2 linked regions of the Tribolium castaneum genome follow. The protein of the gene in region 1 interacts with the protein of each later gene in a biochemical or structural test. Links are inferred from orthologs where the notes say so. Each region holds a gene or a part of one and is shown in the gene's direction. Other genes may lie near its edges.

Region 1 (3,838 bases):
AAGAGCAGGTATTGTTGCCGAGGACAAAAGGACGAAGAGTGCGGATGTCCTTTATCTGCCTATCGTTGGCTGTTATTTCATGTGCCGATTGTAAATTTCGATAAATAATGCGCAGCGAGATTTAGGCAAACATTTATTCATTGTAGCAAACATCATACATCAACGTTCCAGGATTCATTGCGAATTTATATATAAATCCTGAAAATCTCGAATAACTGTTAAATTAACTACTAGGAAATTGTAGCTCTAATTTGAGAGAATTAGAGGTGTTTATATGTTTCGATTTTCACGTTTTTCGAAATTTACAAACTCAATCAATTTATAGGGAATTAACAAATATTTAATTTTCGATGGATACCGTTCAGCGATTTTTAATTATGTTTTCCATTATTCATAGCAGAGCTTAAAATTTCCGGGAATATTAAATACAAACAGTTAATATTGCCCCAGCTAATTGTATTTTTTGCTAAATCTATATTTTGTTATGCTATTCTTCTAATGTAAAAAATACAGGGTGAATTATTTGTGTAATTAGCTGGAATTAGTATTAATTTCAGAATTAACTAAAATAATTGGATTTTTTTATTTTATTTATTTTTTTATTTTGTCAAACCAAATTGGAAGTTGTAGTGAGTCTTCCTTTGAAGCTTTGTCATTTTTTCAAAATTGAATTCTTGTTTTTGAAATAGCTTGGGCTATGAGAGATTTATTGTTATTACCAGGTGATTAGTGATTAGCTCACTCTATCTGCATTTGGAATGTTTGGAAATATTTGGTTTACGTAGTGGGCGTAATTATTCGATTATGGGGGCATTATAATGCGACCGTGGATCATTATTACTTAAGATAGTTCCTAATTATTATTCTATTGAAAAACGTGACAGTCAACATGTGAGGTATTCAGTGACCCAATTTATTCGGTAATTTGTTACAGTGACCGACCTGATCTTTGTATCCGAACTCGAAATTTTCCAAACAGTTTGCTTGCCAAAGCGAATCTTTTTCGTTTATTTTCGTAAATGAGAAATACAGTCACAAGTTTCTTGAATTTATATTAGTTTGAAAATAAACTGAAACGGAATTTTAGAAAAGTTGTGAGTTTATTCATATTTTCCTGTTGTATGGAGCTGTTTATCTGCATGCGAATAAAAAATAAATAATAAATGAAGGAAGTGGGGTGCAGAAATATCAAGGATTTTTTGTTTAAACAAATTTACACAATCGATTTTATTCGAGTTTAAAAACGAGTGACTCGAGATTAAATTTCCATGAATTAGTGAAGTTAGCTCGAGTCAAATGTTGCTTAATCCATCCATAATTATCATTCAGAGCATAAAATTATTCAAATTTCCGCACACTTGGCGGCCATAACAGGCACAATACAAATTTTCATAATCGAATATCTGACGTGTTTTGTTTGTTTCAGGTGTGCGAATTCGTGAATGTGCAATACGAGTCTGATTACTTCGGATTGAAGTACGAAAACCACAAGGGAGAGGAATCCTGGTTAAATTTACGAAACCCCATCGATCGGCAAGTGACTTTTCACGGCCATACGTCCTATCTGCGCTTATCACTGCGGGTGAAGTTCTGGGTTCCTCCTCACATCTTGCAGCAAGAAAGCACCCGTCACCAGTTTTACCTCAACGCGAGACTTCATCTGTTGGAAAAACGCTTAACAGCCCCGGACTGGGCCAGCATTTCAAGACTGATCGCTTTTATAGCTCAAGCTGAATGTGGCGACTTCAACGAACTTGATCCGCCTCGGAATATTTACAATTTAGCTACAACGATCGCTCCTTTGGATCAGTCGGAGAAACCCGGAGATTTGCTACAGAGGATCGTCCACGAGCACAAAAAATGCAAAGGGATGAAGAGCTCTTCCGCCGAGTATTGGTTTTTGAAGGAAGTGTCGGAGTTTGAGAATTTCGGAGAGGAGACGTTCACGGTGAAAAATCACCAGAATAACAACACGGTGTACGGGATCGGCCCTCATGGCATCACGATTTACAAAAAGGACGGGGAGAAGGAGTTGATTTCGTTCACTAACATAACGAGTGCTTCCTCCCATAAGCGCACTTTTAAACTTGAATATTTGACCATCGATAACGAAGGGGCTATTCTAAATATTAAACTAGATTCTAGCCATGTGGCTAGTAGCTTATATCGGGCCATTACGGAAAAACACGCCTTCTACAGCTGCGAGACGGTTCGCAGTGCCGTAACGGCACAATTTATTCGAGATCTGAAAGGGACCATTGTTTCAATTTTCAACGAGGACTCCACATTGGGCAAAAAGTACGTGTTCGATATTCGGAGGACCTGCAGAGAAGTCTACGACAATGCAAGAAGAGCCTTGTATTTGGAAAACACTATTCAGGAAATCACTCGCGCCAATCTCGACTACAACGGCAACGCGGGAGAGTGCAAGGTAGGGTAACAATCAAAGTTCTACCAGCTTTGTTATTTAAATAGTATATTTTTTCTATAGCAGATGTTAGACTACTATTAATTTCTATATACATTACACTGCACTGCAAGGGTAGCTAATATGTTTTAAATTTGTTTTACTCAATTAAAACTTAAAAATTCCATCACATGAATTTGAAAGATTAACGGTTTAACAATAACTTTTTCCTCTTTAACTTGAAGTTCTGCTATAGAAAAAATGTCGTATTATACACGACGATAAGGATTATTCTTCAGCGGGTATAAGTAACTTTGTTACTTGGCGTTAAACTAACGTTTAATTTGCCTTCTTTTTTCCAGAATTCCCAAGAAAAATTGTCGAGATTTCTGGACGCAATGACCTGTAAAATCTGCATGGACGGCCAGATCGACGCGATTTTCCTGCCGTGCGGGCACGGGGTGGCCTGCATGGCGTGCGCCTCGCGCTGCGACAGGTGCCCCCTTTGTCGTTCCGACATCGCACAAGCGAAGAAGGTGTTTTTGCCCATTGACTACCTCCTGGTGGGTCAGACTACGAATTGAAAGACTGCATTTTTACTTTACTAAGATCTCGAATAGTTTAGTTGTGGAAGTGGACAGAGTACACAAGTGACAATCGTATAATTTTTGATCTTTTCTTGTGATGTTTTGTTAACCAAAATCTCATATTGAGGTTTGTTTTGTACATTGTTAAGTATCTATCTACATACTATTTTTTACTATGTAAAGTATGAAGGACCTAAAGTGTTGTATTTTATTAACTATTGACAATAGTAAGAAAATGCAAAAGCTATCGAAATGTAAATGACATGAATTATTAATAGTCATATTATCAATGCAAGATGTAAATTAGGTTTAGTTTCGATATTTGTTAATATAATAAAAATGTTATAATGCTAGTATTATAATGAGAAATGTGTGATAAGAAATTTTTGTTTTGTGATATTGCATTCATTTGGAAAATTAAGTTTACGTTTATACTATCAAATTTTATTAATCGATGTTAAAGTAAAGTGTAGACGTGTATATGTCACATATTTACAAGTATTTTGTTATTAGTATTATAACGAGTATATCTGTTAAATTTTTTGCTATTCACGTTTACGTCAACATGGAATTACAATAATTATTTATGTTGTTTTATTTCAAAAAAAACCTTCCTTATTTACTAATAAAGGTAAGTGGAATTGAAATGGTTTAATTATTTTACACCTATAACCGTTGCTGAGAATTAGAAAAAAAAAGAAATAAAGGGACAGGAAGGTTATCCTTGTACGAAAGGCAATTAATGATACATTTCCAGATCTGCAAAATAATTCTTTCAAACACTCCAGACCATTTTTTTAGTGAATTCGGTAGTCGCTATGCTGTAGAGAAAACTTTCGTTACT
Region 2 (3,143 bases), about 11 Mb from region 1:
ACTCACCTTACAAAAGCCTCTTTCGCGGAAAGCGCTTCCGTGCGGACTGGTGCCGGGGATGCACCGTACAATTGCAACCGATCCGCGCTGATTTCACTGGGAAATAATTGGAAAACACTAGAATTCATCAAAAGAAAATTCTGACACATTCTGTTCCGAACCACCCGAAACGATGACCGATTGTCGACTGACTGGCTGCTTCAAATCTCCGAGCTTGTTTGGACGAGTCCATCAATTTCGGGTGGTTGGTCGCTTTGCCCACTTTCAAATTTTTCAAGTTTTTGATCACCAAAATGCACAAAACCTACACACAAACATTACGACGTGCCACAGGATGAGCTCCCAATTCCAGAAAAATTACACTTTAGTCATATTGTGGATTTTTTCAGTTTCGGATACTAGCGACCGCCCCTCGAATCAATTGTCTGATCCGTAAAAGGTTTGTTTGATGCTTGCTCTGATAGTTCAATGTGAAGAGAACAGTGGCGCTGTTATCGATTTTTAAAAATACCCGCCAAAGAACAATGTAGTGCCCATTTTCGGATTAGTTGAGCGTGTAGCAGATGTAAAAGTTTTAAACTGACCTCTGACTGTTATTAATCTTATTAAGCCGGACATCAAGATTCAAACTCTTTTTGTGTCTATTAATTATTATTAATAAACTACACCTAAACATTTTTATTACTATTAAAAATAATTATACCTACAAGAAATTAATCAACTAAACAATTTCTAAAAGTATTCGTGCCAATGATTACGTGGCTGCAGAGGCTAATAAAAAATATAAAATTAAATAAAAATCTGAAAACAAGTAAAAAACTTGTCTATGCAATTAATTCATAAATCCACTTTATGTTGAATATACATCCAGTGAACATTACTGCATAACACACACCTCAAGAAGACACATTTTAATTACTAATTATTAATTTAGTCACTCTCTTCGGCAATAAGAACCACAATGAAAAATTAAAAAAATAATAATAACTGAAGTGAGTGTATAAAAATAGTTGAAAATCACATTTTTGGATTCAAAACATCAAAAAAAAACACACACACACACACACACAGTGATGCATGGAGAACATTGGAAATTTAAAACAGGTCATAAATTCCATTTAAAAAATTATGTAGCAATCTGAAACTTGAAACAAATACCATATGCTAATATTTAAGAGCTTTTGAGCTTTTTGAGAAAGATAAGAGTTGAAAAAAAAATAAATTCACTTGGTTTATTGTATTTTGGGTTGCCCACTTCAATCAGTGCTTCTATTCTATGACAGACAATAAATAATTGAAGAAAATGGGGTCACGTTTGTGCTCCGAGTCAAAACGGCTCCAATACACTTCTGATAAACTTGTAAAAAATTACCGTAAAAAACAGAAACATCCAATTAGTTAGAATTCAACCCAAATTAATCCAATTATTATTCCCAATTAGATAATTCTTACAAAAACTAACTGTATTATTGGACCGTTTGGTTATGTATTTTATCGATTTAATTTTACATTATAAAAACCACGGGATTATAACTGTGAAAGATTTTCGGTTCAAATAATTTTCATTACGGGAAATACCATTGGAGCAAATACTATCAGCCATCACTATCAGCATAAGCCCAATTTAGCCAATCAGAAGGTAGAAACGTGTCATTAGAAAATTATGAACGTCAACCAGTTTTATTTTGAAGAAAGCGAGCCGCGAAAATATTATTCTTGCCAGTTTATTCCGAAAAAGTGCAAAATTGTTCTGACAATAAGATGAAAATAACGCTAGTTCTAGTAACACTCTTTTTTTACAACACAAAAGCACAAAAAATTGATGCTCAAGAGTTGAGGTGTTTAGGTAAAGAATGAATGATTTTTGTTGTAATGGTGTTTTGTAATTAGTGATGATTTCCAGTTTGTAAAGTTAGTTTAGACGAATTACACAAAGCTGTGAATAAAATCGATCCAACCAAAACCGTCGACGTTGGGGGTTATAGACTGGACTCTGATGGCAATTATCGACACAAATCAGTTTCTCAAGCCAAGTCTGAGGTTCATTTATCCGAAATGATCGAAGATATTTGTACGAAAATGGACGATTATGTAAGGGCGACGTGGAAATCGAACGGAACTTTAACTTTGTTGAAATTAATTACCGAAGATGGGAAAATGAATAACGACATGTCTGAAGTGAATTTAATTCAAGATGACGATTTAAACAAAAGTTTGAAATATTACGTATGTTTCTCGTTATTTTAGGTATTCGGCTGGACTGATTTATTCGTTTTAGTGTGAGGGCATTATGGAAGAAATGGAAGAAAATATTATCAAACACTTCCAAAGTGGAACAGAGGACGTAGACAAAAAGGTGTGTGTTGAAGAATCGGCCATTTGTGGGAAGAAAATTAATGAAGAATTGTGATTTATGCTAGTTAAGGCTTCCATGTTAACATATTTATTCTTTTAATAAAAAATCAAAATGAAATGGCCTTTTCATGAAACCTAGCACATGTCAAATAAAACGTCAGCTGTCACTTTCTAGGTTAAGTTGCTTTGTTTTAAAGCTTGTGAATTATCAATTAAGACGTTATTTATTCATTACATTCAATTACTGTTTTAAGAAATATAGGAGTGTTTTACAATTTATTGCCAAACATCGATTGATTGCCCCTTTTTGCGGACCAAACGTCAGAATGGTCAAGTTTTAGGTTAGGTCATTTCAAATTTAAATATGTCACAAAAAATTGTTTATAGTGTGACTAAAAAATAGCGCTAAAATGGTTAATTATGAGGCAAACATATCAGCTTACGAGACAATATCAACTCTGGGCCAATGTTTCGAAGGAATGGCAGTGGTCAACTTGGCAAAACACAAAATTTCGGGCACCATGGTCACCATAAAACGCTTTAATATGGACCGAATTAAACACGAAGCGCACTTGGTCGAGGTGTGAAACCATCCCTGAAGTGCTACTGCATGACTGATCTGTTTTAGAGAGAAATCATTTTGACGAAACAGTTCCAGCACCCAAACATTATTAAGTACTTTGTGGCCTTTGTGCATTTGCATGAAGTGTGTGTTGTGAGCCCTTTGATGGCTTTTGGCTCATGTCGCGATCTTTTAAATACACATTTTAACGAAGGACTGCCTGAAC

What was found.
Region 2: the proteins of dnr1 (region 1) and sel form a complex in vitro, tested with the Homo sapiens proteins (2 studies listed by BioGRID). The link is inferred for Tribolium castaneum from reciprocal best matches to the Homo sapiens genes MYLIP and CNPY2.

Annotation. Positions count from the first base shown.
Region 1 is NC_087396.1:13,981,358-13,985,195, reverse strand, and holds the end of dnr1 (E3 ubiquitin-protein ligase MYLIP), read left to right. Parts: intron 1-1,426; coding exon 1,427-2,431; intron 2,432-2,769; coding exon 2,770-2,991; 3' UTR 2,992-3,577; downstream 3,578-3,838. UniProt on the Homo sapiens protein: E3 ubiquitin-protein ligase that mediates ubiquitination and subsequent proteasomal degradation of myosin regulatory light chain (MRLC), LDLR, VLDLR and LRP8. Activity depends on E2 enzymes of the UBE2D family.
Region 2 is NC_087396.1:24,663,860-24,667,002, forward strand, and holds sel (protein seele), read left to right. Parts: upstream 1-1,545; 5' UTR 1,546-1,761; coding exon 1,762-1,846; intron 1,847-1,903; coding exon 1,904-2,226; intron 2,227-2,278; coding exon 2,279-2,410; 3' UTR 2,411-2,473; downstream 2,474-3,143. Other genes in the region: STE20-related kinase adapter protein alpha, read left to right, coding at 2,766-2,936, 2,984-3,143. UniProt on the Homo sapiens protein: Positive regulator of neurite outgrowth by stabilizing myosin regulatory light chain (MRLC). It prevents MIR-mediated MRLC ubiquitination and its subsequent proteasomal degradation.